4 linked regions of the Elephas maximus indicus genome follow. The protein of the gene in region 4 interacts with the protein of the main gene of each other region in a pairwise test. Links are inferred from orthologs where the notes say so. Each region holds a gene or a part of one and is shown on either strand. Other genes may lie near its edges. The genes, in order: UXT, INKA1, TUBGCP4 and PAK5.

Region 1 (7,711 bases), on a different chromosome or scaffold from region 4:
CCACGCAAAACAAACTCAACTGGAGCCCACACTTTCTCCTCATATCACCTCACCATCCCCACTAACACAGACTACCACTTCATTCTGCTTCCGCATACCATTTTTAATTCACTCAACAAACACTGAGTGCCTATGCACTATTCTAGGCACTTGGGTAGACAAAATTTCTCTCTTTGTAAAACTTATATATTCATAGGAAGAGACAATGCACATTCAAAGAAGTAAATTACACAGTAAATATTAGGAGGTGATAAGTGCTGGGGGGAAAAAAGACTAAGGGAAGGGAATCAGGAGTGCTAGGGGTTACAGTTTTAAAGTTAGGTTAAAGAAAGCCTCGTTGAGGAAGTGGCCTATAAACAAGACATTTGAGTGAGGAGAAAGCCACATGGCTATCTGGGGAAGAGCACTGCAGGCAGAGAGAACAGCCAGTACAATTGCCCTGAGGTGGGATCATTCTTGGGGTGTTTAAAGAAGAGTGTGAAGGTCAGTGTAACAACAGCACAGTGAATGTGCAGGGGAATTAGCAGGAGGTAAAGTCAGAGATAACTTGTTTTACTGTTACTGATTTACAGGCTAACGAGACCTCACAGATCTGGTCATAATTGTACTTATGTATTTCTTTTTTATAACAGTATACTTAATATCTGTCTCATCCCTTAGAATGTAAGCCTTCAAGGAACCATTCTTTCTTGTTCACTGCTGCATCCCCATCACCAAACACAGACCCTGGCATATAGGAGATGCCCAATAAGTGTCTGATGAATGATAAAAAGACTGCTTATTATGTGCTGTGCCTGGGGCTCAGCTTTCCGTTCTCACATTCCTCAGCCCCAGCCCTGAGAAGGAGGGGAGATGGGTCCCTAAGTACCATCCCAGGCAGATATGGGGAGAAGGAAGAAGGGTACTGGTGATTTAGACACGATCCTCATAGAAGGGACTTACTCTGTGAGGAGACAGCTCTTACGATCAATAAACTTGAGAGCTTCTGCCAATGTCAGCTCCAGGAAAAAACCGTATCCAAGGGCCACATAGATTCGTGAAGTATCTGGGCTGAAGAAAGAAGTTAGAGGAAGCAGGGGGAAGTCCTTGCCACCATGTAGTATACCGTATAACTTATTCAAGATGTTTTTTGATTCCCCTCCCCCAAAGAAGTTAGAGGAAGCAGGGGGAAGTCCTTACCACCATGTAGTATACCGTATAACTTATTCAAGATGTTTTTTGATTCCCCTCCCCCATCTTCCCCAAATAGAGGCTCTAGGAGAGCAGGGATTTTGTTCTATGTTATTCACTGTCACATCCCTAGCACCTAGCTGTGTCTGGTTAGAGCAGATGCCTTCAAAATATTTGTTGAATGAAGGAAGGGGGATGCTGAATCCTGTGGGCTCAGAGGGGCAGGTAGACACTCACACCACTGTGTCAACGAAGAAGTTACAGCCCAAATCCACCTGCATATATAACTCCGAGTGGTTAGTTTCCTGTGGGGCCAGGGAGAAAGAGGAAGGGGTCAGTACTCACATTTTAAGTCAAGAGACAGGTTTTGGTCTGGGGTTTCTCCTCTTGTCTTCCTCCCTTGCCCACAAAAAAGGTATCCAACCTTGGCATCTTTACCTGGAGTCGCTCAATGACATTTCTTAGTTGAAGATATGTGGCCAGCTGCTCATATACTTTGTCGCGATGGTCCAGCACCTTTCTGATGGAGTGAGAGTCCAGTGGTGACCAACAGGTGACCCTGTCCCTCTTGGGATACCTCATATCTTGCCTCTGTGAGACCCTTATAGCCCCATGCCCTGAACAAGCCTTTTAGTGCAGAAGATAAGATTTTGGACTCTGCAGTCAGACGACTTGGGTCTGAATCCAGGCTCTCTCCTTTACTAGCTATGTCAACTTGGCAAGTAAGGAGCCTCTCTGGGACTCAGTTTCCCCATCTATAAAGGATAATGACAGTATTACCTCATGCAGTCGTTAGAATTAAATGTTATATAAACTGCTTAGAATAATATCTGCCGAATAGTAAGCTCTATATATGTGTTAGGTATTATTTATACTATTATTAATATTATTATAAATGACTGTCAATGCCTCTGACCAATCAGAATCTCTCATTCTCACCCTAGAAAAATCCTCCATCCCTTTTAGGATGCTCAAAGTCCTAGTTGTAAACACCGAACTTCCCACTTATATTAACAGTGACAGTAATTCTTCATATTCATTGAGCCTTTAGTATGTTTCAGACATCCACGCTAAATTCTTTAGAAGTATTTGAACACATTGAAAACACAAAACCACCAGATTTGAGGGCTCTGTCAACTTCTCCATTTCACAGATGAGAAAAATGAAGCAGAGAAAAGGCGACGAAGTACATGTTCACACAGATGACAAGTGGCCGAGCCGGGATTTGAACCTAAGAACTCCGGCCTCAGAAACCTAGCTTTTAACCATTAAGGGATGTCGAAGTCAAGCACGCGCAGACACGCCCTGCGCGCTGAACGCCCCGTCCCAGTCAAATTGCACCCCGGATGTCGCCCCTCCTTCCCGCTTGAAAGGGGCGCTGGGCCGGGCCAGAACGCCCCACCTGCCAATCAGAAAGCTCTGTGCTGACACTAAACGTTCCGCCCACCACGTGGAAGGTTACAACCCCCCGCCCCCCCACGCCCGCTCACTGCAGGTCCCGCTGAAGCACGTCACTGATGAAGGCCTCATAGCGCAGCACTTTCTCACTCGTGGCCTCTAGCGCCCGCCGTTTAGGGGGCGTCGCCATGATGAGCTCCTGAGGAGTGGGGAGAGGGAAGGCCGTTTTGACCACTCCAGTTTGGCCTCTTGCGCAGTAAATCTTCACCTTCCCAACGTTGGGAATGGGCTCGTCTGATTCATACCGGGAGTTGCGCCTTCCGCGCCTCCCAACTCTGGGATCCCTGCCACAGAGAGACACTCAAACGCGCCCCTTACCTCAGAGCCGCCGGGAACCAGAACGGAGAGTTGGTATAAACTGCGGCTTCCGGGTGGCGCGGTTAAATGACGTAGTGGCAAGCAGGCGGCCAATCAAATAGCCAGGTGGGGAGGCGCGGTCCTGGCGGAAAAAGATCGGTCAAAGGCGTGAAGAGAAGGGTTGGGCTTTACGGACTCTGAGGAGACCTGGAAGACCGTAGAGCGTGGAAGCAGGGACTGTATGGCAATAAACCGATGGGGCTGCGAAAGCTGCGTGAAGCCTATGCACGCGTGGCTGGTGGGGATGGAGCCTAATGGGATTTGGTGGGTCCTGGATGCAGGATGTAGGACTAATAGGGTCGCTTTAAGTCAGAATTGACTCCACGGCAAAAGGTTTTTTAAAGGGTTTAAGGGGATACAGGAAGCATAGGCAGAGTTAGAGAAGTGGAGTGAAGCATTTGGTGTTTAAAAGGGCCACAGAAGCAGATGGGCAAGAATTAATTTTGGTTCTGGCTGCCTGTGACCCCGTATACTCCCCAGCATGTTTTTTTCCTAATTCAAAATGGGCAACTGAGAGCTCGACATAACTAACGCCATGATGAACCTGTAAGTTTTTCTCCTTCCTCTGCCTGTCCTCTCCTTCACATACCTCTGCTAATGGCTTTGTTTTGACCAAATGTTAATAACTTTGTTTTAAACTGAGGCAAATAACATTTTGTAATGTCCGACAACCTGTGGCATACAACCCCCACAGGAAAATTGGAGCCCAGGTATATATCTGTATCTTTAGCCTAATGAAGAGATGTCTGGCAGGTATCTTTTGTCACTATCCTGTAATGAATGACCCCTCTTGAGCATACCTCCAGCTAAGTAACCACAAAAACATTTCTAACCCTTCTAAAATTCTATGTTGTTGTTGTTAGGTGCCATCGAGTAGGTTCTGACTTATAGCGACCCTATGCACAACAGAACAAAACACTGCCCAGTCCTGAGCCATCCTCAACAATCGTTGTTATGCTTGAGCTCATTGTTGCAGCCACTGTGTCAGTCCACCTCGTTGAGGGCCTTCCTCTTTTCCGCTGACCCTGTACTCTGCCAAGCATGATGTCCTTCTCCAGGGACTGATCCCTCCTGACAACATGCCCAAAATATGTAAGATGCAGTCTCGCCATCCTTGCTTGTAAGGAACATTCTGGTTGTACTTCTTCCAAGACAGATTTGTTCATTTTTTTGGCAGTCCATGGTATATTCAATATTCTTTGCCAGCACCACAATTTAAAAGCGTCAGCTCTTCTTCGGTCTTCCTTATTCATTGACCAGCTTTCACATGCATATGATGCGATCAAAAATACCATGGCTTGGGTCAGGCTCACCTTAGTCTTCAGGGTGACATGTTTACTCTTCAACACTTTAAAGAGGTCCTTTGCAGTAGATTTACCCAATGCAATGCATCTTTTGATTTCTTGACTGCTGCTTCCATGGCTGTTGATTGTGGATCCAAGTAAAATGAAATCCTTGACAACTTCAGTCTTTTCTCCGTTTATCATGATGTTGCTCATTGGTCCAGTCGTGAGGATTTTTGTTTTCTTTATGTTGAAGTGCAATCCATACTGAAGGCTGTGGTCTTTGATCTTCATTAGTAAGTGCTTCAAGTCCTTTTCACTTTCAGCAAGCAAGGTTGTGTCATCTGCATAATGCAGGTTTTTAATGAGTCTTCCTCCAATCCTGATGCCCTGTTCTTCTTGATATAGTCCAGCTTCTCGTATTATTTGTTCAGCATACAGATTGAATAGGTATGGTGAAAGAATACAACCCTGACGCACACCTTTCCTGACTTTAAACCAATCAGTATCCCCTTGTTCTGTCCGAAAAACTGCCCCTTGATCTATGTAAAGGTTCCTCATGAGCACAATTAAGTGTTCTGGAATTCCCATTCTTTGCAATGTTATCCATAATTTGTTGTGATCCACACAGTCGAATGCTTTTGCATAGTCAATAAAACACAGGTAAACATCCTTCTGATAGTCTCTGCTTTCAGCCAGGATCTGAGATCAGCAGTAATATCCCTGGTTCCACGTCCTCTCCTGAAACCGGCCTGAATTTCTGGCAGTTCCCTGTGGATATACTGCTGGAGCCAGTTTTGAATGAACTTCAACAAAATTTTGCTTGTGTGTGATATTAATGATATTGTTCTATAATTTCCACATTCGGTTGGATCACCTTTCTTGGGAATAGTCATAAATATGGATCTCTTCCAGTCAGTTGGCCAGGAAACTGTCTTCCATATTTCTTGGCATAGACGAGTGAGCACCTCCAGCGCTGCATCTGTTTGTTGAAACATCTCAGTTGATATTCCATGAATTCCTGGAGCCTTGTTTTTCGCCAATGCCTTCAGAGCAGCTTGGACTTCTTCCTTCAGTACCATCAGTTCCTGATCATATGTCAACTCTTGAAATGGTTGAGCATCAACTAATTCTTTTTGGTATAATGACTCTGTGTATTCTTTCCATCTTCTTTTGATGCTTCCTGCATTGTTTAATATTGTCCCCGTAGAATCCTTCACTATTGCAACTCGAGGCTTGAATTTTTTTTCAGTTCTTTCAGCTTGAGAAACGCTGATTGTGTTCTTCCCTTTTGGTTTTCCATCTCCAGCTCTTTGCACATGTCATTATAATACTTTGTCTTCTCGAGACACCCTTTGAAATTTTCTGTTTAGTTCTTTTACTCCATCAATTCTTCCTTTTGCTTTAGCTGCTCGACGTTTGAGAGCAAGTTTCAGAGTCTCCTCTGACATCCACCTTGGTCTTTCCTTTCTTTCCTGCCTTTTCAATGGCCTCTTGCTTTCTTCATGTATGATGTCCTTCCACAACTTAGCTGGTCTTCGGTCACTAGTGTTCAATGTGTCAAATCTGTTCTTCAGATGGTCTCTAAGTTCAGGTGGGATGTACTCAAGGTCATATTTTGGCTCTCGTGGACTTGCTCTGATTTTCTTCAGTTTCGGCTTGAACTTGCATATGAGCAATTGATGGTCTGTCCCACAGTCGGCCCTTGGCCTTGTTCTGACTGATGATATCAAGCTTTTCCATCGTCTCTTTCCACAGATGTAGTCAATTTGATTTATGTGTGTTCCATCTGGCGAAGTCCATGTGTATAGTTGCCGTTTATGTTGGTGAAAGAAGGTATTTGCAATGAAGAAGTCGTTGGTCTTGCAAAATTCTATCATACGATCTCCGGCATTGTTTCTATCACCAAGGCCATATTTTCCAACTACTGATTCTTCTTCTTTGTTTCCAACTTTCGCATTCCAATTGCCAGTAATTATCAATGCATCTTGATTGCATGTTCGATCAATTTCAGACTGCAGCAGCTGATAAAAATCTATTTCTTCATCTTTGGCCCTAGTAATTGGTGCATGAATTTGAATAATAGTCGTATTAACTGGTTTCCTTGTAGGTGTATGGATATTTTCCTATCACTGACAGCGTTGTACTTCAGGTAACTACGAAGACATTTCTAACCCTTGTAAAATTCTATAGAAGCTCTAATGTAAAATTGCTCTTTGGAACTCCATAGAGATAGCCTGTGTTGCTGCCAGTCCCCGGTGATGTATGCATCTCCTGAGAAAACTTTGTCTTTTGTGACTTGGTGTGTTTTATTGGCTGGACTGCTCCAGGGCACGGACCCTAATCGGGTAACATGTCGAAAAGAGGGTCTATCCTGTTTGATCTGTCTACCTAGATTCTGATTTTTCACCTGCGAAATTTGAGTTTAACTCCCGGTGATGGGAATGAGTGTGAACACTGAAAGATTTTTAAACAGAGACAAATCTAAAATTCATCTTTTATGACTCCAGCTCTGCGATCTGCAATCTATAACTGTGGGGTTAAAGCGGAGATTGACAAAGCGTTGTATCTAATCACTTCATTTAATACCCTTTGCCGTCAAGTCGATTCTGACTCATAGCGACCTTATAGGACAGAGTAGAACTGCCCCATAGAGTTTCCAAGGAGCGCCTGGTGGATTCAAACTCCCGACCTGTTGGTTAGCAGCCATAGCACGTAACCACTACACCACCGGGGTTTCCTCATTTAATAGGGGGATAAAATGGAGGGTCGCTGGAGTCCTCTGTCCAAGATTTGCTATCTTGTGGTTAGAAATAATTTCCCGTGTGTTTTATTTAAATATGTAAGCTTTTTATTAATGTATTTTTCATGCTTTCAAGTGAGGGACTGAACTTATTTCCCTTGTAAGATTTTTAAACAGAGGCATCTAACCCAGCCAAGTCCAGGCCGGAATCCCCCAAACGCCATTCTCGTATGCAGGGGCTTGAGCTCCAACCCCTATCGGAAAGACTTTCCAGAAAATCTGTATGTTGTGTATGTAAAAGCAAGGTTCATTTTTCAAATGCCGAAAACCTGACCAAATCTAGTTTTTCTTTGCTCATTGAACAAGGGTGTTGTATAGGAAATATTGAGATTAAAAAAACTTTCGTAACTCTCATAATTACGTTTCATGTGATTGAAACACACTAGGTAGTTAGACAAATATTACACCACCGTCTTAAGAAAGGAGCCCTGGTGGTGGTGTGGTTAACAGCTTGGCTGCTAACCAAAAGGTCAGTAGTTCGAATCCACCAGCTGCTCCTTGGAAACCATATGGTGTAGCTCTCCTCTGTCCTAGAGGATCGCTATGGGTTGTATTGACTCATTGGCAATGAGTTTGGTTTCGGTCTTATGAAAAGAAGGTGTTAAATTTACTATATACAACAGGGAGAACACTATCAGTG
Region 2 (7,319 bases), on a different chromosome or scaffold from region 4:
GTTTCCTGTCTTGAGCTGCTCTGGCTCCTGGCTTGGGCTCCTGATGGCCCACCAGCACCCTCCACTCCATGCCAGGTCACTTGCTCTCTGGCTGCCATTGTTCACTTACACACTTCCCTCAACCCCTGCCTCCCCCGCCAGGGTGACAGAGCTGGTGCAGCGGGTGACAGGGCAGGTGCCTGAGCCTGGGCAGCAGGTCCTGGTACTGGAGCTGAGCTGTGAGGGTGAGGAGGAGGACACTGCTTTCCCGCCTCTGCACTATGAGCTGTGATAAGGCAGCAGCCCTGACACCTGGCTCTACCAAACCCACACCTGCATCCTGAGCCCACAGCAGGCCTTCAATAAATGCTTACTGAAGACCTAAGTGCAGAGGATGGATGATGGGACACATGGAGCATGACATGGGCATGACAGGGACCCCAACCTGGACGGGAAAAGTTCTTTAGGTTCTCTCGACTCAGTTGTGCCTCTTGGGGCTGAAGCTACTTCCTGGAGCCTCAGGGGTATGGAGCCAGGACAGTCCAGAGAAAGGCCTTTATTGTCCCCAGGTTGGGGGCAGGGTCAGAGGTAGCTGATGACATCATTGCAGATGATGGGCTGACGGCTGCGGCAGCTCATGAGGGCAGCAAAGCGTGAGACGTCAGCAGGCAGCTCAGGCTCCGGGCGAGGTGGGCACGACAGCCGCTTTCCCGCCATAGCTGCCCTCCGTGCCCCAGCCAGCCGGCGCCGCAGCTGCTCGGAGAGGCCAAGCAAGAATTGCGGGGGCCGAGTGCGGGCACGGGGCCCACCCCCGCCCCCACTGCCCCCCTCACTCGCTGTCTCGGGCAGTTCCATCCAGTTGTGCACCAGGTCAGCGAAGCAGTTGTCCCCCAGCACCAGTGGCTGGCGACTGCGACCCCTGCTCAGCAGGGCTGCTGTCCAGTCCTCCGCGTCCAGTCCCTGCCAATGCTCCAGGCAGGCATCAGGGGTGGACTTGGGCCGTGGTCTGTGGGCAGGTGGTGCACTGGCCAAAGAGGCCCTGCTAGGCAGGGGGAGGCCATTGGCTGAGAGGCGCTGGCTGTCCGGGGGCCGTGCTGGGGGTGTTGGGCGCTGTAATACGGGCAGCTCTTCCTCTTGCCATGTGCTCCCTGACACCTCTGAGAAGCCAGAGTCCCAGTCCAGGGTGTGCTCCCTGGGGCCCCTCAAGGCTGCACCCCTGTCCCCTGTCATCATGACTTCTTCCTCATCCTCCTCTTCCACACAGCAGGCCGAATCCTCTTCTGAGGCATCTGAGGCCCTGAGCCGGTGGCTGGGCTGCACACCTTGGCCAGGTTTGGGGGATGGCTTCAGGGAGCCAGGCATCTGGGGTGAGCCTGTGTCCCGGCCACACAGCTGCAGAGGAAGAGAGAGCACAAGTCGGAGCAGCAGCACTTATTAGCCCTGCCTACCTGCCTGGCCCAGCGAGCCCTGAGAACAGAGAGCCAAGGAGAGCTGGAGAGATCTGCTGGCCTGGGTGGCAAGGCTGCTGGGGGGCACAGGGCCAGTGTTGGGGTGCTGGCACACGAAGCCAGTGTGGCTCCCATCTGCCCACCTGGTGGCAGTCCAGCAGGCTGCAGCACGCAGGGCCAGGCAAGTCAGTACCCGCCACTAAGGCGGGCCGGCAGGGGTGTGGGCCTGCACAGCGAAGTAGGGCCTGCCCAGTGCTGGGGGAGGCATCCCACAGCTCTTGGGGGATTCAACTCTCCCAAGGCCACAGCTTCTTTCAGAGGAGGTTACAGTGTTTTCCAGGTAAGGAGTGGAGGAAAGAGGGACAGGCCAGCCCGGGGTAGGGGGAGTCCACAACACTAGCGCCTCTTCAGTCCCTTGGTTTGTCCTGCCTGGCCCCAAAAAAGGTTTCTCCCCCACCACCACTACCCCCCGCCGTCCTGGCAGCACGGCCAGCTGGGTGGCTTGTTACCTGATGCCCAGCACAGCTCCCAACTGTCCGAAACCCGACGCGGGCCATCTGGGCCATTTGCGCCGCCCCGCCCCCATCCCTCCTCGGATGGGCACTCGGGACAACCCCCACCCGTCCACTTTCGGGACAGGCGGCAGCAGAGCATCCCCCACTCGTCCCCACGAACCACACCCGCGCCCAAGCCTCACCAGTTCCCAGCGGAGCTGGCCCAGGAAGCTGTCAAGTCGAGCGCTGTGCATACCCGTGCCGGAGTCTCTGTCAGGCCTGCCCCCTTCTCCTCGAACCGCTGCACGAGCGGCGCAGAGAGGGCCTGGCGGGCGGGCCAGCGGGGCCCTCGCCCTCCGCCTCGAGCCGCAGCTCCTCGCTCTCCGTAGCTCCCGCCGCCGCCGCCCCAACATCTGGCAGCAGCACCCCGCCCCCGGAGCCTTAGCCAATGGGGGCGGGGCGGGACTGAAATGACCCCGCCCCTCGGGCCGGCAAGCGGGGCGGCCCGGAGGCCTCCTCTCCCTCCTCTGCCCTGGCCTGGGGAGGCGGGGCTGTGGCTGGAAGCTGGGTGGGGTCCGACCCGGAACCCCTCCCCCGACGCCCTGATTGGTTGAGCTAACCCGGGGTTCGTCGCATGACACAGGGCAAGTCGCTTCCCCGCGGCGGCTTCTGCTTCCCTGTGGGACCCAGGATAGGACGGCGGTCCCTCCTACGTAGGCCCCGTGAGCGCGGGTCCCCCCGCGGCGTCCACGTGCCCGCCCGGCGGGGCAGTGAGCATCCCGAGTCGTCCGGCCCGGCCATGCTGTGGCCTTCTGGGGGCCAGACCGGCTGGACCCGCTTCGCTGGACCTCGACAATCGCTGGAAGTGATGGGAAGGCGACCGGGCCGAATTCGGGGGACGCGGAACCTTGCGTCAGCGCAGGGGGAGGTCCTCAGCCAGGAACCAGCCCAGCCCTCCCTGCCGCTCCGAGTTAGGCAGGGTCGCCCCCTGGTGGGGGGCGCGCGATTAGCCGCGAGTCCCGCCGCTATTCGGGTCCACCGCATACTCTGTGCGACAGCCCCTCTGCAAAGCACCACATGCATACTGAGGATCAGTGCGGGGGGGCAGTGGGAGAGCGGGAAGAAAGAGTGCCACTCATCTGACGGGATGGCCAGAGTCGGTCCCCTTGAGGGTGCTCTGTGATCAGAGGCTAGGCTCAAGGGTACAGTCTAACTGGAGACAGAGTAGACACCAGCAGACAAGAAAATGTCCGGAATGAGGGCCATGGGCTAGCTTGGGAAGGGGGTTCTTGGAGGAGTTGGTACTCAGGATGAGATCTGGGTGAGCCATCATGGGGCAGACCTGAGGAGGGGCATTCTAGGTGGAGGGACCAGCCGGTGTAAAGACCCTGAGGCAGGAATGGAGCTGGACAGGGCAGAACACAGATCTCTGCTGGTGGGGGGGTGGGGGTGGGGGTGGGGGTGGGGGTGGGGGTGGTGGTGAAGAGGTTAAGAAAACCAGACTCCCTGCAACCTTAGAGAGAAATGCATGTTTTGTTTTGGGTGTGCTGGGGAGCACTGGGATACTTTGAGCAGGGAATTACCTGGCGTGTCTCCTTTTTAAAGAATTCTGGCTGCTGTAGGAGAACCAACTGTGTAATCAGAGTGGAAGCTCCTGCCCTCATGCAGGCAAGGGAGGGGATTGGCCTGGATCTGCGAGGAGCAGGTTCACAGAAGGTGTCAGTTTGGGGTATATTTTGGACCTAAAACCAAGCCTTGCTAATGCATGGATGTGGATAGGAAAAGAAAGGCATCAAGCATGACTCCTAGATTTCTGGCCTAAATGACTAGTTGAATGGAGTTTGCATGAACTGATCTGGGAAATACTGAGGAAGAGTGAGTTTGGAGAGGAAAATTAAATGATCATTTGTGGATTTGAGATGCCCATTAGACATCCAAGAGGGAATGCAGGGTTGATCTTGGGCTGTGTGACTCCGGAGTTTGGGAGAGAGGCCAGTACTGGATGCTTGGATCTGGGAGACAAAGTAAGTGGATGTTATTTAAGGCCATGGGCCTGTATGAGATGGGAAGAGATAAGTGTAGACAGAGGAGGGCAGCAGGTAGGACTGAGTTCTGGAACATTCCACCATTAGGAGGTTGAGGATATGAAGCAGAACCAGCAAAGGAGCTGGGCAGGAGTGGCCAGGGAGGTGGGAGGATACCAGAAAGAGTGTGGGATTTGGAAGCCAATGGGAGCAAACATCAAACAATCCTGAGGAATCACCAATCCCAAGGAAGTGAGTAGAAGCCACTGGATTCAGCAGTGTGCAGGTCACTGAGGACCCTGACCAGGGAAGTTTTGTGGAAGGAGGGACGAACCTGACTACAGTGGGTACAGAGAGTGAGAGGTGAGGAACTGGAGAGTACAAGTGTAGCCACTTTTACAAAATTGACATGTAACATAAATACGATAAACAGAAAAATCTCAAAGGTACAAGGAGCCCTCGTGGCACAGTGGTTAACCACTTGGCTGCTAACCAGAAGGTTGGTGGTTCGAACACACCTGCTGCTCAGTGGGAAAAAGATGTGGCAGTCTTCCATAAAGATTTAAGGTCTTGAAAACCCTATGGGGCAGTTCTACTCTATCCTATAGGGTCACTGTGAATTGGGATCAACTCGATGGCAGTGGGTTTGCTTTTTTAGTTTTCAGAGGTACAGCTCAATAAATGTTGAAATCTGTAGACCCCTGTGCACTGGACACCCAGGTGAAGATATAGAACATCCCCACACCTCCAGAAGGCCACCTCGTACCCCTCCTAGCTGATAATTCCAGAGGTAACTACTAATTTGATTTCTATTCTATCCCAATGATTCCTTTTCCTTGTTGAATGTAGACAACTTTTGAGAGATTTTGCTGATGGTTGGAACTCAGGTGTCATGGGCAGATCATGTTCTCATGAGGGTAGAGAGGAGACAGCTAGAGTTCATGTGCTGTGTGTGGGGTAACATACCCTGGGCCCAATTTTCCTGGGCACTGTGCTTGCTCTGTCTCCAAGGACTGAGCGATCAGGATTTCCCCAAGCCTCAGTTTCCCCATCTGAATCTTTATCCTCCTCCTTTCGTGTTCCGTTAGGGTTGTGGTAATGAATGGGTTGGGGACAGTGGGAAATGGGATTGTCTATGCCTACCTGGGATCTACAGCTCAGTCACCAGGGATGGGCGGGGCTAGAATCTGGTTGGTCCAGGAGTCCTGCCTGCCCAGCTGTGTCTGAGCAACTGACCTGGCAACCAGGTAAGCCTGTCAAACACATCAAGCTTTCTGGAGTGCTGACTGTATCTTCTGGCCACCATGGAGCTACTCAGGCCCCTCGTGCTCCTTCTTGCTCTGGGTGTCTTTGGTGAGGAGCTGGTGGGTAGGGGAGCCCCAGTTCTCACCTCCAACTCCACAGTGGAGTTCTGGCCTTTCTTAGATAAGCTACTGTGGAGGACAGGGACTGGGGAAGAGCCAGGAAAGGGCAGGGGTAAGAGCCTCTGACCCTCATTTCTCATCTTGGTTGCTTCCTCAACCAAGTCTGTGAAATGAGCTGACCCACATTTAGATGGGGGGGACAGAGAAGGGCTTTGGCTGCTTGGCCCCAAGACTGCAGTAGACAGGCAGGGCTATGCTCACATCTGTGGTTCTGTGAGCATAGGCGGGCCTCCGGCCTGAATCACCTGCCCCTTGCAGACCTCCACAGCCAGCCCTGGTTCATGAATATCTCTGAGAGCCTGGGCCCTGGCACAGTTCTTGAGCCTTTCCCCTTCAACTGCACCTCCTCCGCACCCACCTTGGAGCTGCTCTATGTGCAGCCACCCACCACCTTCTTCAACCCACCCAGCCTCAGGAGGCAAGGCTCCTACTATGTGGGCACGGTATGGCTTTGGGCACAGCTGGGGACCATGGGGACACAGGGTGGACCTGAAATTCCCAAAGTTGAAGGTGGTATAGGGAAACAGAGAGCCTAGACCCCACGTGGCCTGCCCACATGCCATAGGTGACTTTCAGCAGCTCGGTTCGGCTTGATGCTCTAGCAGTAAACCACTACAGACTGCAGCTGCGATTCAAGTGTGGCATCCATGTGACTGAGGGGCCACTCTTTTTGGATGTGCAGCGGGATCCCAGTCATGTCCAGTGTGCCGGCCGATTTGCCAGCCCAGGTGAGGCTGGGGGCAGCTGGCAGGGGGTGGGCAGGCATGACCTGAGCAGAGCCTCCCTAACCTCCCTTCTGCTCAGCTGGGGAAATCATTGAGGTGCCAGAGACGGTCACACCGGGGGCCCGGCTGTACACTTTGCTGCTCCCAGGCCTGGAACTCAAAGGAGCCCAGGTGAGCCCAACACACGGGGCAGAGAGAAGTTACAGGGAGATGGGAGACCAAGCCACAGGGTCATCTCAGGGGTTCTTTCAAGTTCTCCTGTGTGTTCTGAGTTTTCCATGACAATTCAGTATCACTTTTATAATCAAAAAAAGAAATGCAGTTTAAAAACAAAATAATTGGTTTAAAAGCAGAGAGGATTGTGGATAAGGACCAAGGGTCAGGTGGAGGGAGGGGAGCCCAGCCTGGTGTGAGGGCCAAGGGCTGGAGCATGGGAGAGTTGGGTGGGGTGGGTGCCTGTCAGGTTGTTGGAGGATGTTGACAGGGGTGCTTGGAGCACGAGGAAGCAGATGGAGCTTCCAGCATCTCTGTCCTGTCAGATGAGCATCACCAGTGCCCAGGACCCTTCATACTTCCCTGGATCTTTCTCCATCAATCAGCAGGGTTGGCTGCAGGTGCCAGCCCAGGGCCTCAAAGGCCAGTCTCAAAAGGTGAGCATGACCTGGGACCTGGGGGGTATCCATGGACTGGGGATGCAATGGGTAGAGACTCTACCCCCTGGAGATTTCTTTGTTCTTGGCATTCTCGATTATGCTGCTGCTTCCAGACCTAGCCCATACCCTGAACCTGCTGCTGCATGCTGGCTGTCCCCATCTTGGCCTGGTTCTGTGCTGGTATCTGGAATCCAGAGAGAAGAAGGGTCCCTGGCTCTTAAAGCTCATAGTTGCTGTAATAGAAAGGAAATTGTTGAGGGCAATCACCTAAAGGGAAAGTTCTGGGTAAAGTGGCCAGTGTAGTCTGGAGGAGGTTAGAGAAATCCCTTCCTTAAAATTTTCACCTCTTGATGATTGGCTCTTAGCAACTCTAAGATGATAATTCACATTGTGAATGACTCAGATATCATTCTTGGGCTATCTGTATCCTAACAGAAGAACTTATGGTCCAAAGGAATGGGGCTCAAAGGTATACCTGTCAGCAGAGTGACTGGTCATGGGGAGGGTGAGTGTTGGGGCTCCTTGAGAGGGGAAGTGGGCATAGACTATAGAAGAACACATATCATGGTTCC
Region 3 (7,927 bases), on a different chromosome or scaffold from region 4:
GCCTCTTACCACTTGGGCTGCAGAACAGGACTGGTGCAGATGAGCTGTCGGAGTCCTGGGGGGTAGCCTCTGGGCCCATCTCATCACTGTCAGATCCCTCAGCCATGGCCTCTTCTGCTCCCCCATCAGGCTGCCAGCCCTCTTGCCCTGGCTTCTCAGTCTCAGCATCACTGCCCACCAGACCAGAGTGAGAGGCTGCCTCTTCCAGGCAATTACTGGGCAGCGCGATGACCTGCGCGCTCATCAGGGCTTCCATCTCTTCAAAGAAGGGGCAGGTCTCAGGTGGATGGCCACTTTTGACTTTCCGATAGCTCTTCTGGAGACCTTTGAACTTGGTTCGACACTGTTCCAAGGTCCGGAGGAAGCCATACTCTCGGAGCCGCTTAGCCACTGCCCCATACACTTGGCTATTTCTATGACAATTTCGGAGAGCCTCATAAAACTCCGTCTGACTGAGAATTGCAAGGAGAGTTCTGGTCTCTTCATAGCCCCAGTGCACACCCACTACCTTCTCATCCTCAAAGCCCCAGTGATCCTGTTCTACCCAGGTTCTTCTCTCTCTCCTGGATGGTAACAGATCGGCAGGCATTCGTCTGTCTCCAGTGTGACTGCCTCCTGGGAGTTCCCTCTCCTTGGAGCCCAGCAGATCTGGGATCCATGGCTCTCCTTGCTCCGGCCTGGAGACCACACCAGATTTAGGAAATGGAAATCCTGCTTGCAGGGAAGCAAACAAAGGATATCATAGTTTGGACTGATCATATAAAAATCTCTGAGTTTAGTCCTGCCTTTTTTATCCAAGGTTATTAGGAAAGCGTCTGGGGAAATGTTTTCAGGAAGTTCAATGGGTTGAGGAAAGTGGAGCAAATACTGGAAACTTCAAAAAATGAGAATTTTCCAGAGCAGGGTGACAAGAGAACAAGGTTCTGTTGTGTGTTCAGAGCAGATAATTCTATTCCAAGTTGCTCCCTAACTGTCCTCACCACTTCTTGGCAGGAACTGCTGCACACAGTTATGTCCTGTCTCCTATAGTTCTTCACCGGGGGCTAGAGAAGCAAACTCAGTGATTTTAATGTGAGGAGGGAGTTTGTCTTCAACTCATCCATTTCCATATTCAATCGGTCACTAAGTTCTAAAGGTGCTTCCTCCCTACTGCCACCATACAAGCCCGGACTCCTCATCGGCTCAAACCTGGGTAACTGCAGCATTCACTGCCCTTATCTACCCAACCCAGGCCCTTGCCTTCTCAGTCCACAGGCTATACTGCTGCCACCACATCACTTCTCTGTTCAAAGCCTTCAACCACTCTCTAAATCCACCTCGTCCGATCCGTACTCCACTCCAGTTTTCAGCATTAGAATTAGCCCTGCCCTGCCTGTTGGCCTTCTTGTCTACCATGCATTCTCCACTCCTATTAGACTCTTCTCTCCAGAACACAGCTAACTTTTTATTTACCATTTTGTGCTTTCTCTTTAACTCTCTTCCTATCAAAATTTAACTCATCCTTCAAGAAGCTGTATTTGCCAGTGTCTCAGAGACTCTCATCTCTCACCTGGCCAAAGCCCTACAGCACTCAAGCACTGAGCAACAAGTCACTGTTTGGTCCTGTTCCAGTACAGCTCAGCACATATTTATAGTTGGGTTCTCAGTCACACTGTAAGCTCAAGAACCTGCAAGGGGCTGAGCATGCTGTCGGTGTTTAAAAACCAACTGATTTAATTCTGCCAGTCTGTGGTGGGGTTCAGGGATTTGAGCTGGATGACTAATAAAGGCCATTACCAAACTGGCTTAGAAGGCTAACGTCTTGGATGATAAGATCAGAATTCAAAATAACCTGAACAAGTTACAGAAATGATCAAAGAAAAAAAATACAAAATGGACTTCAACAGAGTTCAAAGAAGAAAAACAAGTTCTACAAAATCAATTACAAGCAGCAGCAACTAGGCACAAAACCAATAGGGAAGGCTATAAGAATCCTGGGAGTTAACAGGTGAACAAAAATTATCAAGTAATTATCAATTGGATTATACTGAAAGAAAATGCAGCAAACTTGTGAAGGAAAAGCTCCCGTTCTGCCTTATCCTCACTGGAGTAATACACAGAACTTAGTTCTCCACAATTAACATTTAGGTTAAAGGAAGTTAATGACAACTTAGGTCTGAGAATGGAGCTTCCGGGGAAAAGCTTAAAAAATAAACACAGCTTCATTTGGAGACGGAAATGACTAAAAGGAGGATGTGCCTTTAAGTACAGAAAAGAATTTTTAACTAGAAAATAATGACCTACTATTATCATTACCAAGAGGAAATAAAATAGTTCCAAGTTCTGATAAAAACTAGGAAGTTACCCTCTCATGCACTTATCAAAAGTACAAATACAAAAAACACTTACTGTAGGCTGAGAGCTTAACTACATGCCTTCAGGAGGTCCCCAACAATTGCATATCTATTTAGTCCTGAAATCCCTTTCCCGCTCACTACTCCCAACCCTATTTCTCCCAGCTCAGAATGGCACCTATCTACCCGCATGAATCTACTCCTCACCGCTCCTTTGAAAAGGTCTGAGCTTCTCCTTTGGGTTCATCTGCTCCTGTGGTCCCAGGTCTGGGCTTCTTGCCCTCTCTTTCTTGGGTACACCCCTGGGCTGGGGTTCCACTGACTCCTGCCGAACACTTAATAACTCCTGTGATGATTTCAGGGGTGTCATCTTCTCCGAGCGCACTTCCTGCCCCTTCACAGAGACTGTGACCTAGAAACAACCCCCATTAATTGTCACTGCAAGGTCATAATGGGGGGCATTCCCAGAGGAGATTAATACCCCAAAAGATCATCCTTCTGGGACATGGCTAGAGTTGTAGGGATTGGGGGTTATAACAAACAAGTAATTCCATTACTGTTAGCTTAGAGCAGCTGGAACTCCAGAATGAAAAGACCAATATAGTTAACCCAACTACAAGTTAAAAAAAAATTCCTGATTAATGAGCTACAAATAATTCATTATGGCAGGGTAGGCAAAGATACACCCAGGTAGCATCTCCAGACAAACTCTATATGAAAAAGTTACCTGTTCCAGGGTCAGAAGTATAAGCATCGTTGAAGGAGACTGTGCCCCTCTTTAAACCTATCTATACCTTAACCTGGCTGTTACCCTTACCCTTTTGCGATCACACATTTCTGAACTCCCCCTCCTTTCTCACCGAACGTCCAGGTCTTCCAAGCTGTCTTTCTAAATCTTCCACCAGAGCCACTGCCTCCTCTCCACTGTCTGGACAATGTTCCTGTACCCAGTTCTGGATCTCCCCAGGTAAGACCGCCAGGAACTGCTCTAGCACCAACAACTCTACAATCTGCTCCTTGGTGCGTGCTTCCGGCCTTAGCCACCGACAGCAAAGTTCCCAGAGTTGGCTGAAAGCCTGCCGGGGCCCTGCCACCTCCTGGTAATGGAATCTCCTGAAGCGTTGTCGGAAGGTCTCAGAGTTAGTGCCATCCCCTCTCAGAGTGGGTCTGGCCATCATTCACAGCAGAAAGCAGCTTCCCTCTACTTAAGGGTCTGGGCTCCAGGGCTTACACCTATCTTCCCATTCCTTGGAGAATCACCTGCAGTCTCTCTGTAAGAGGAGTTTCTTCCTAGGGTAGAGAGAGATGGCACTATCAGAAGGAATATATTCATACGTCTAAAATCCTGCCAGGGCTGGCCTGACTTCCCATATGCTCCAGCTGGCCATCTGAGGTAGCACCATCTTCAGGGCAGCAAGCCAAGGCTGTGAGCTGAAGGAGAGAGACCTTTCAAAAGCTGCGTTTCTGGGCGACCTCCAGGGCAGCCCGGGGAAGCACCAGAGAACGGAGTACTGTGTCTGCTCCTCTCCCACCTCCCCCAAATCCGACCCCATTTAGCTCCCTTGACCAGTACTACATAGTGAGTTCGAACCATATGGGAGACCTGGAGTTCGAGAGGATCTACAGACAAGTCACCGTCCTGCCGAGAGCAGCGGGTCGCAGCTGTGTCCCCCGTACCTCGGCAGTCCTTCCCGGGGCCCTCTCCGTCCGCCCCGCCCCCTCCGGCTCCACGACTACCAACTCCCACCCCACACAAAAATCAATTACTAAATGTCGAGTCTTTGTTTCTCCCCCTCCGCAGAGGAACCGTTCGGCGAGGACTCGAGAGCCACTGAAGGGAAACCGAGCGCATCGGGAGAAGGCAGCTCCGACTCCTGAAGCGAGGGCCGGGTGGGCTTGGGGAGAGTCACACTGAGTTGGTAGAGAGGGAGTCCAGGGAACGGTCGGGATGGGTCTCCTGAGGACGAGCCAGGGTGCCGGCCAGAGGCTCCGAGGGCTGCGGGGCTTGCCGGCGCGGAACTCGGCTCCAGGAGCGGCGGGTACGGGGTTCCGGCCTCTTTGTCTTCGCTCCCTCCGGCCGGGTCACTCTCGGAGCCCCGTGCGCTGCCTAACACGGGCCTCCGGCCGGGCTACGGCGCCCTGAGAACACTCTCCGACACAGCCCTGGGAGCGTCTCCCTCAGCCCCCTCGCACTCCTGCCCCCGGGCCAGCTTCACCCACTCAGCTCCGGCTCCAGCCCCAGATCGCCAGCCTCCCAGGCCAGCTCCCAAACCGGAAGTGCGAGCGGGCACCTCAGGGCAGAAGGGGCGCATGCGCACCGGCCGCTACTACGCCTCCATCTCCCTCCCAGCCCGGCGGGAGCGAGCGGGTGGGACACGGCGGGTCCGCGCACTTCCGGGACTCGGCGCCGACCCCTTCCGCTCTTCCCGTCCGCTGTTCCCGCAGCAGTGGTTTCGGCGGGGTAGATTCCGGACGAACTGCCCGTCCCAGCGGCCTGTGCACGCGTCGAGGCGGGAGAACTCGCCTCCGTGGTCCCCTGGAGGGGCGCTGGAGGACAGGGTGACGTGGCTAGGGAGTGGAGGTCCGCCGTGGGAATGATCCACGAGCTGCTCTTGGCTCTGAGCGGGTACCCGGGGTCCATCTTCACCTGGAACAAGCAGACCGGCCTCCAGGTACTGCGCGCGGGAACGGCGGAGCGACCGCGGGACTAGAGCCGGAGCCAGGGGGTGGGGTCTGAGGGAGCCGAGGGGGCAGGGCGTGCAGGGCCCGCGGTGTTGTAGGGGGTGTGTCCTAGGACAGACAACCGGAGCTTGGTGCCCGAGGGGCCTGAGGGAGGAACACCCTGAGAGAGCTGGGCCGAGGCAGGGAAACTGACAGCAGACCCGGAACGTCCCCGCCTTGGGGGGGACGGAGCTGCTCCATAGGGTTTTCAAGGCTGTGACCTTTTTGAAGCAGGTTGCCAGGCCTGTCTTCGGATGCTTCTGAGTTGTTCGAGCCAAGGAGCTGGGCGGCTCCGATGTAGAAGCTAAAGAGGCTCCGTCTCTCATTTTCACATTTGCACTGTGTTTCAAACTGAATTTTGAAGACTCACAGCGCTTGACTCAATAAGTGCCGAGCAAATTTTGTTGAATGAAGAAATGAACGAGAGGGTGGAGAACTTAGAAGCGGGCCTTCAAGGTACCGGGGCTGTAGGAGGAGGAAGTGCTGAGGAGTAGACGTTGTTTGGAGGCATTATCTCGTTTGGAGCCCTGGTGGTTAACAGCTTGGCCGCGAAGCAAAAGGTTGGTAGTACCAGTCCACCATCCACTCCTTGCAAACCCTGTGGGGCAGTTCTGCTCTGTCCTATAGGGTCACTATGAGTCAACAGCAATGGTTTATTTGTTTAATCTCTTTTAACCTTTGCAGTCACTTTATCTCCATTTAACAGATTAATTTAGACTCAGAATGCTAAGTAACTCCTGGGGTTACATAGATAATAGTTGTTTTTGTTCGTTGCTGAGTTGATTCCTACTCATGGTGATTCCATGTGTGCAGAGTATAGCTGCTCTATAGGATTTTCAAGGCTGTGACCTTTCAGAATCAGGTAGCCAGGCCTGTCTTCCAAGGGTGCCTCTGGGTGGGCTTGAACCGCCGTCTTGGCTAATAGTTGAGCGATAAACTATTTGTGCCACACAGGGGTTCCTAGTTAATAATTTTTCTCCTGTGCTGTCAAGTCAGTTCCAACTCATAGTGACCCTGTGTGACAGAGTAGAACTGCCCCATAGGGTTTGCTAGGCTGTAATCTTTACAGGAGCAGATCACCAGGTGGGCTGGAACTGCTGCTGACCTTTGGGTTTGCAGCAAGCTCCTAATCATTGTGCCACCAGGGCTCTTTAGCTAATAATTAAAACCACACCCACTGCCATCGAGTCAATTCTGACTCCGTAAAGATGCCCCACGGGGTTTTCAACACTGTATGGTAATCTTTTCTACCATGCTTTTGTCAGTTTGTCATACTGTGCTAGCTTGCATGTTGCTGTGATGCTGGAAGCTATGCCACCGGTATTTCAGATAGCAGCGGGGTTACCCATGGTGGACAGGTTTCAGCGGAGCTTCCAGACTAAGAATAGACTACGAAGAAGGACCTGGTGGTCTACTTCTGAAAAAATTGTCCAGTGAAAACCTTATGAATAACAGAACATTGTCTGATAATAGTGCTGGAAGATGAGCCCCTCAAGTTGGAAGGTACTCAAAATACTACTGGGGAAGACTGCATCCTTAAAGTAGAGTTGACCTCAATGACGTGGGTTGAGTCAAGCTTTCAGGACCTTCGTTTGCTGATGTGACATGACTCAAAATGAAAAGAAAAAGCCGCAAACATCCATTAATAATAGGAACATGGAATGTATGAAGTATGAATCTAGGAAAATTGAAAGTTTAAAAAATGAGATGGAATGCATGAAGATCAATATCCTAGGCATTAGTAAGCTGAAATGGACAGGGTGTTAGTCGTCTTGAATCAGACAGTTATATGGTCTACTATGCCACGAATGACAAATTGAAGAGGAATGGCGTTGCATTCATCATCAGAAAGAACGTTTCAAGATCTATCCTGAAGTACAGCGCTGTCAGTGATAGGAAAATTCCATACACCTACAAGGAAGACCAGTTAATACGACTGTTATTCAAATTTACACACCAACCACTAATGCTAAAGATGGAGAAATTGAAGATTTTTACCAACTTCTGCAGACTGAAATTGATCAAACATGCAATCAAGATGCATTCATAATTACTGGTGATTGGAATGTGGAAGTTGGAAACAAAGAAGGATTGGTAGTTGGAAAATATGGCCTTGGTGAGACGCCAGAGATCGCATGATAGAATTTTGCAAGACCAACAACTTCTTCGTTGCAAATACCTTTTTTCAACAACATAAACGGCAGCTATGCACTGTGAACCCCACCAGATGGAAAACACAGGAATCAAATTGACCACATCTGTGGAAAAAGACAATGGAAAAGCTCAATACCATCAGAACAAGGCCGGGCCAACTGCGTTCAGAACAAGGCCAGCCAACTGCAGAACAGACCACTAATTGCTCGTACATAAGTTCAAGTTGAAGCTGAGGAAAATTAAAACAAGACCATGAGAACCAACGTATGACCTCAAGTATATCCCACCCGAATTTAGAAACCATCTCAAGAATCGATTTGATGCATTGAACACTGATGGCTGAACACCAGACAAGTTATGGGATGAAGAAAGTAAAAGGTCATGAAAAAGATGGGAAAGAAAACACCCAAATGGATGTCAAAAGAGACACTGAAATTTGCTTTTAAATGTAGAGCAGCTGAAGCAAATTGGAAGAAATGATGAAGTAAAAGAGCTGAAAAGATTTCAAAGGGCAGCTCAAGAAGACAAAGTAAAATATTATAATGAAATGGGTAAAGACCTGGAGTTAGAAAACCAAAAGGGAAGAACACGCTTGGCATTTCTTAAGCAGCAAAAACTGATAAAAAAAAATTCAAGCCTTGAGTTGAAATTTTGAAGGATTCAACGGGGGAAACATTGAATGATGCAGAAAACATCAAAAGAAGATGGAAAGAATAGAC
Region 4 (7,171 bases):
GATGGCATTGGGAGGAAGACATGTTGAAGATGAGGCTGGCCCCGTACCCAAGACTTCAGGAGTCTCTGTAATCCGTCCCAGCTGTATGGATGTGTTGTATGCAGGGAATTCACATGATACTGCCTTTTGTGGATGAGAAACTAGAAGGATCAAGAAACCAGGAGGTCTTCTTAGGAAGTTATATTAGTAGCCCAAGTGAGAGATGATGACTTGGAGTTTGATGGTGTTGGTGGTAGAGATGGAATGGAGGCTCCATTGAGATATATTTAGAAAACAAAATTTATAAGACCGTGTGATGGTTTTGGATGTGAAATAAAGGGAATGGAGGTGTCAAAGATGATCCTCGGGCTTCTGGCTGAAGCAACTCCATGGACGATAGTGCCATTTACAAGGATAAGAAAAACTAGAAAGGTGTTAAGTTTGGGATATTTTTGTTGCTGTTGTCATTTTGGTTGTTTTCTTTGGATTTTTGCTCATTTGTTTTGCATTGTGTTGGTGGGGTAGCAAAAGGGAGGAAAACCATATCAAGAAATCAGTTTGGGACAGTACATTATAGATAAGATCTGAATCCTGGATTGTCTGGGTTTCCAGATAAGTGAATCTGTGTAAGTGAGGTACCTCTAAGCTCTGTTCTTCCCTTCACCACGGAAGGGTACATAAACCCTCAAACAGGTTAGTTGTATTAAATTATTTTTAAGGTCTTTTTTGACCTTATCTACTTTACTTTACCTTCTTCTTTTAGGCTGACATAATATTAACATTGTCATTAAAATGGTTCATAGGGATTTTGGGAAGATTAAATGCAATCACATGTTTGAACCTGACTAGCATAATATGGGAGCCCTGGTGTCACAACGGGTCAGCGTTTGGCTGCTAACCAAAAGGTCGGCAGTTCTACTCTGCCCCATAGGGTCACTATGAGTTGGAATCAACTCGACAGCAATGGGTTTGGGTTTTTCGGGTTTAACATAATATGGGGCACATAGTATAGGTTCAATAAACATCCATTTCCCTTCCCCTTATAATGGTCATCACTATTTCCCTGGCGGTTAATACTATAAGTAATCTTCACACTTACCTATTTAGGTATTACTCTTCCTACTTCCAGGTTTGTTTTACAGATGAGGGAACTGAGGCTTGCGAAAGCTAAATAGCTTACCCAAGATCACAGAGATAAGTGTGGAGGAGCTAGAGTTCAAACTCAGCTTTGTCTCATCGAGATGATACCATATCCTAGAACACCCATTTCTAGTACCAGTAGTGTTGGTGTTTTCAATGCGTGCAATGAAAATTCACACTCATCACCAAAGTAATGAGTTGCAATCAATCAATCAATCTCTATCCATTCACAGAGGAACACAAAAATTTTATTCTAAGACCAATGGTATCAATGAACTTGCCATCAACTTCTATTGCTTCCATTAGCAATGCTTCTGCTTGGTACATACGTATTCCAAGTCAAGGATTTACTTAAATGCATTTTTCTCAAGCATTTCCCATTTTATTTTGATGATACTGGCTCATTTTTGCCACCTAAGGAGACCAGAAAAATGAATAGTGTCAGTGTAGAAGTGTCTCTAAACTTCATATTCACAGATGTCCATCCTTTATATCATAAAGAAAAAAATTAAAATGTTGAATACATACAAATGTAGGAGAGAACTTACAGGATCATGTCAATTCCCTGAATGGGATATGCAAATGTAAGGTTGTAGTTAGGGACTGGTTTCATAGAATTCTAATTTAGAAGGAGCCTTTAAAGAGCATCTTGTCCTTCTAGACTCAGGAAAGAGGGTGTACCCTCATGCCACCAAAACAGAGAAGAGAAAAGAAGGTGCAGAGAGGTTCTCTAAGTTCCCTAGGACCCTACGACTATTTCCTGGTAGCATCTTAGCTGAATGCCAGGTTTCCTGATTCCCCACCCCCCCAAACTGTATTCAGTCTTGCAAGCTGTCATCAACTATTAACAATGACACTTCTCTCTGGCTTTATGCCAACTTCTCTTTCTCTTTATTGCCCTGGCCTTGAAACGTCCATCATAAAAAAAAAAAAAAAAAAGATAGCACCAATACTTTCAATGTCCTTTACTGATATGTAATGTTGAGGCATTAACTCATGTCCTATGTTTAAAGCTCCAGCTAAACACGTTTCAAGAGAGGTGATCAGGCTTGTCCTCCAAACCCAAACTGGGCACTGATGGTCCCTGGACTTTTCAAGTTTACCCTCCAGGAAGCCAAAACCGCTCACAATTTTGACAAGAGTTTGGAACCGAGATCCTCTTCCACACTCTGCCCACACCCGTGCCCACAAGCAGAAGTTGGTTCTCTCCATTACAACCCACCACGCGCACACACACATACCGAGGCAAGTAACAAAGGAAAACACAGCCCTATAAAGGCTCAGCTATTGGTTCTTCCAGTCCACACCTGCCAAGAGACAAAAATCATACCGGAATCCTGCCCTGGCAATATGTCCAACACTACTCGGGAGAAACAGGCATCGTGGCACCCCCGGGCGTGCGCGGCTGTATACACAAAAGAACCGGTGCTGGGCTTGCTAGAGGTCCGGGGTACCAGCGCGCTCCCCGGGCTGCTATCTAGGTTTCTTCCCCACGCCCTCTCGCCCAACAGAAAGGAACTACCCTTTATTTGACCCATAGGGATCCCAAGCTGAATGGTAGCGCATGGGGGGTGGGGGGATAGTCCTTGGATCCCTTCCTTCTAAGCAGCCGGTCCCCAGCCTTGGGCATCTCCTAGGAGATGCACAATCGCGCGCTGTCACTGATGTCCTCTTCGCATCCTCTCCCGGCAAAGCAAGATGCCCCGGGTCCCAGCCGCGCGCATCCCCACAAGCGCCCCTCCCCGTGCGGATGTCCACCCAGGCAACCCCGCCAGGCGCGCCTGCCTACCTGGTGGCTGGCTGTCAACGAAGCGCGGTGGCTCATCCCTTTCTTCTCCTCAGCCGCTACATCGCTCCGAGCGCCATGTTCCCGGTCTCCCCGGGCGCACGCTGGGGAACTACTACAAGCTGAGCAGGGGCAAGGGGGGCGGGGGCCAGAGGGAGGGGGTGGGAGGTAGAGCCACAGCTTTCTACTCTCCACCCAAAGCTCCTCCCGCTACTGAGCATGTCCGGCTGCCGGGCTTCGCCCCTAGGAGGACGTGGCAGGAGCACGCGCCACGACTCCGGGTTTTCGTGACAGCCGGGGAGGCGAGCTGGAGCGGCGCAGGCCGTGGAGAAGGGGTGGGTCGGGGGAGTGTCGGCTCGCCCTACAGCAGAGTGCGGGGCACGCAGCCCTTAGCCGGTCACGCTTTTCCCTCTGGCCTCTCCGCGGGGGCAGCTCGTGCGCGCCCTCCCCACACCCTCCGGGTTTGCCGAACTGTTGCGCGTGCAGGACAAGGCCGGGCTGAGCTTCGCTTAAAAAGCCAGCAAGGGGGAGGGGGGGAGGAAGGGCGGAGCCGAAAGGCTGATCAGCTGCTAGCAGTGGGGACCACCTGGACCGGCACTTCTCAAACTTTACTGTGCCTGTGAGTGAAATGTAGATTCTGATTCGGTTCTGGAGAGGGGCCTGAGATCCCACATGTCAAAGAAGCTTCCAAGTGGTGCTGATCCTCCACACTGGGTAGAAACGACCCGGACAACTCCTCATGGGTGGCTTGTGAGTGGCTGTCCCTCAATCAGCTGTCCCAGAAATGGTCTCTGGCCCCACATAGGCCCCTTCTACCTACAGATGACTTGGTAACTCCACAAATGTAGTAGCACCTGGGGTTGCTGTGCCCTCTAATACCGAGCTCTGATGTCCCAGCCCTAACTGGCTACTATCTGGTTTAGAAAATGAGGTCTGGGCCTCTTGCTGCCAACTTTGCTCGTTAGCCACCACTGAACTGCTCCACTAAGTGTGAACCAGTGTGCCTTGCTTGTTCCCCAGTCTGGGCTTCAAAGTGTCAATTTATTGTACATGTAATGATAGGGCTGGGAAGCCCTGGTGATGCAGTGGTTAAGGACTACAGCTGCTACCCCAAAAGTCGGCAGTTCAAATCCACCAGCTGCTCCTTGGAAATCCTATGGGTCAGTTCTACTCTGTCGTATAAGGTAGCAATGAGTCAGAATTGACTCAGTGGCAGTAGGTTTTTTTTTTTTTTTTTTCGGTTTTTACCTGACTAAAAAGAACTGACAGATTCTGATAAAAGGAGGGCAATTTTTGTGCCAAGAGATGACAGGCTTTTCTCTTGAGTGATGCTTGGGCTAAAGCTTCTAACGTATCTTGTGGTTCTACTTAAATCCTCCAGTTACCCATTCCCCTCCCAGCTCCCAAAGGCTCCAGCATCGTCAAGAGTATTCCCTGCCCACACGACAGTGAGAGAAAGACATGAGGAAGCCAGGCATGAATTTTCAACCTTGGAGAACAAATACTAAGAGTAAACAAGTCATACCCTCTTCTGTCCTCAGCTGCCTCAACAATACACTTATGAGCTAGTGCATATGGTATCATGGGAGCCCATAACTGAATAGATAGCAGATTACAAAATGAGGGTTTGTATCTATCAGTACTCTATTATACTCAATAACCATAGACTGTTTTCTCGTTAGTGGTGGAATAGTTATCATTTCCCCTTGTTTGTCTTCTGTTCACTTAAAACCCTCATGCAGCAGCTTCTGTATCAGAACAGGAATTGTGGGCTAAATGGTTGATGACTTTTCTTCCTCAGTACTCCTGTGTATGGTGGGGAAATATATCATGGCATATCGTACACTCATGGTGTACCAATCAGAGGAATAGGAGTCTCCAAACCCATCTCTTTAATTCTCTAAGCTGCACACATAGCCCTAACTACCCACCTACCACCCCCACTGCCACCTGCACCATTATTTGCATAAATATTTTCTATTTTGATTTTTTTGTATGTGAGTGAGCACAGATGCAAAAGAAAACATATTCACAGAGTTATTTATTTGTTGGCTTGGTGGTATCAATTAAAATTATGCTTTGAAATACAGTGCTTTGATCATTTAAAATATCTCTCCTATTATATATAACGCTTGTGTTCATGTGGTTATTTCTACTAGATAAATACTATGATTATTGTTAGCTGCCTCAAATTCATTTTGAAAGTTTGCCAGGTAAAAATTATAAATTAATACTAATAATATTTCTGTAAATACTTTATTGCATTAAGTGCCAAGGGATTTCTTTTTATATAATGTCTTTTCTTGATAAATAAGTGGAACTTAGAGAAGTCATACAGCAAAGTATCTAAGTAGGGCAGAAAATTTAGGAACTTAACTTGTGATTCTGTCTTTTCAACTCGCTGTGTGAACCCGAGAAATTAGTGAGCGTTCTTTCTTACTTTCCTCACTTTTGCAGGCTGGCTTCCGCATGATGCTGGCTCTGAGACAGAGTTTAGCATGCAGGCTGTTGATTAAGGAGTGCCCTTGGGCCCAACACCTATGGCTGAGAGATGGTGGAAGCAAGAGTGGGCACAGGGAGAAGTCAAGCTGTGACACAGGCCGATGACAGGCTTGGCCAACCTCACAGGGAGTTCTGGAGTGAGAGTGGCCCTCAGAGTTCCCCCAAGATGGGCTGAGATGGTCTGGTCTTTGTATCGCCTTGTGAATCATTGCGTATGGGCTGCCCCTGGAAGGGGCTTGAACTTCAGATGAGGCAGCTCCCTGAAGCTGAGGCAGTGGAACTCAACTGATTTGCCAGAAAATTTCAAAAAGTGTAAATTTTTAAATAAGTAATGGCTTTTCTAGCCAGCTCAGGGATTTAAAGGTTGGGCAATAACCTGTAATCAGAAGTTGGAAGTATTTTATCTGATTATTTAGTTGTCTAGGTATATACATTCTTTTTTCTTATGTGAAGAATTATAATCTATTGAGCAGGCATATATTCATTTTCTGCTATTCAAGAAGTCTTTTCTCTGCTATCAAAATCTATAGTTAAAATCTGAAAGCTTTGGGATATTAAATATTAGATTGACCTAGAAGAACATGTTTTTCAATAAAACAGACCTACCCATTGGTCAATATTTCATGAAAAACTGACCTCAACCAATCTTATAAAAAACCTGTGGAAAAATGTACCTCAGCGGTAGTAAACTTAGTAGATGAGTTGAGGAAGATGTTTAAGACAACACACTGGAATCAAGGTTCAGCTTACTCTCCCTACTATTTACTCTCCCCCATGCTGTTAATCAGCAGATAGCTTGTTGTTGTACTGTTAGGTGCAATCTAGTCAGTTCCAATTCATAGCGACCCTATGTACAACTGAGCAAAACACTGCCCAGTCCTGCGCCATCCTCACAATCATTGTTATGCTTAAGCCCGTTGATGGAGCCACTGTGTCAATCCATCTTGAGGCTTTTTCTCTTTTTCGTTGGCCCTCTACTCTACCAAGCATGACGTCCTTCTCCAGGGACTGATCTCTCCTGATAACATGTCCAAAGTATGTGAGACATAGTCTCACCATCCTTGCTTCCAAGGACCATTCTGGTTGTATTTCTTCCAAGACAGATTTGTTCAATCCTTTTGCGGTTCATGGCATATTCAATATTCTTTGCCAACACTACAATTCGAAGGCATCAATTCTTCCTCAATTTGCCTTATTCCTTGTCCAACTTTTGCATGCATATGAGGTGATTGAAAACACCATGGCTTGGATCAGGTGCACCTGAGTCTTCAAGGTGACATCTTTGCTTTTCAACACTTTAAAGAGGTCTTTTGCAGCAGAAGCAAATAGCTGGCATCCTTCAAAGGTCAGTCACAATAATAATGGAACCAGCATGGATTCCAGAAAAGAACTGGGCATTTGCTAGATTATTGGGTTAGAAGAAGAACAGGAGTTGGAAAAGAAGATTTCAACTAACATAAACAAAAAGCTTATAGGATATACATCTGTCTTGGTCATCTAGTGCTGCTATAACAAAAATACTGCAAATGGACGGCTTTAACAAAGAGAAGTTTATTCTTTCACAGTCCAGAGGGCTAGAAATCTGAATTCAGGGCACTGGCTCCAGACGTAGGCTTTCTCTCTTGGTGGGCTCTGGAGGAAGGTCCTTGTCATCAGTCTTCCCTTGGTCTGGGAGCATCTGAGTGCAGGAAGTTCAGGTCCAAAAGACGCGCTCTGCTCCCAGCACTGCTTTCTTGGTGGTATGAGGTCACCAACTCTCTGCTT

Evidence for each region.
Region 1: the proteins of PAK5 (region 4) and UXT interact in binary tests that used the Homo sapiens proteins (3 or more experiments, as listed by UniProt). The two-hybrid records come from large-scale screens. The link is inferred for Elephas maximus indicus from reciprocal best matches to the Homo sapiens genes PAK5 and UXT.
Region 2: the proteins of PAK5 (region 4) and INKA1 interact in binary tests that used the Homo sapiens proteins (3 or more experiments, as listed by UniProt). The two-hybrid records come from large-scale screens. The link is inferred for Elephas maximus indicus from reciprocal best matches to the Homo sapiens genes PAK5 and INKA1.
Region 3: the proteins of PAK5 (region 4) and TUBGCP4 interact in a two-hybrid assay, tested with the Homo sapiens proteins (2 studies listed by BioGRID and IntAct). The two-hybrid records come from large-scale screens. The link is inferred for Elephas maximus indicus from reciprocal best matches to the Homo sapiens genes PAK5 and TUBGCP4.

Annotation. Positions count from the first base shown.
Region 1 is NC_064846.1:123,951,585-123,959,295, reverse strand, and holds the start of UXT (protein UXT), read right to left. Parts: upstream 3,002-7,711; 5' UTR 2,947-3,001; intron 2,921-2,946; exon of another isoform or gene 2,874-2,920; intron 2,768-2,873; 5' UTR 2,759-2,767; coding exon 2,661-2,758; intron 1,691-2,660; coding exon 1,609-1,690; intron 1,476-1,608; coding exon 1,408-1,475; intron 1,051-1,407; coding exon 943-1,050; intron 1-942. UniProt on the Homo sapiens protein: Involved in gene transcription regulation. Acts in concert with the corepressor URI1 to regulate androgen receptor AR-mediated transcription. Together with URI1, associates with chromatin to the NKX3-1 promoter region.
Region 2 is NC_064838.1:54,230,120-54,237,438, reverse strand, and holds INKA1 (PAK4-inhibitor INKA1), read right to left. Parts: upstream 2,421-7,319; 5' UTR 2,335-2,420; coding exon 2,125-2,334; intron 1,372-2,124; coding exon 562-1,371; 3' UTR 520-561; downstream 1-519. Other genes in the region: UBA7 (ubiquitin-like modifier-activating enzyme 7), read left to right, coding at 142-271; CDHR4 (cadherin-related family member 4), read left to right, coding at 5,250-5,298, 5,628-5,812, 5,935-6,097, 6,174-6,265, 6,634-6,744. UniProt on the Homo sapiens protein: Inhibitor of the serine/threonine-protein kinase PAK4. Acts by binding PAK4 in a substrate-like manner, inhibiting the protein kinase activity.
Region 3 is NC_064828.1:12,618,277-12,626,203, reverse strand, and holds the start of TUBGCP4 (gamma-tubulin complex component 4), read left to right. Parts: upstream 1-4,920; 5' UTR 4,921-4,927; coding exon 4,928-5,005; intron 5,006-7,927. Other genes in the region: ZSCAN29 (zinc finger and SCAN domain-containing protein 29), read right to left, coding at 10-711, 2,541-2,745, 3,194-3,511. UniProt on the Homo sapiens protein: Component of the gamma-tubulin ring complex (gTuRC) which mediates microtubule nucleation.
Region 4 is NC_064843.1:48,555,377-48,562,547, forward strand, and holds the start of PAK5 (serine/threonine-protein kinase PAK 5), read right to left. Parts: upstream 3,014-7,171; 5' UTR 2,909-3,013; intron 1-2,908.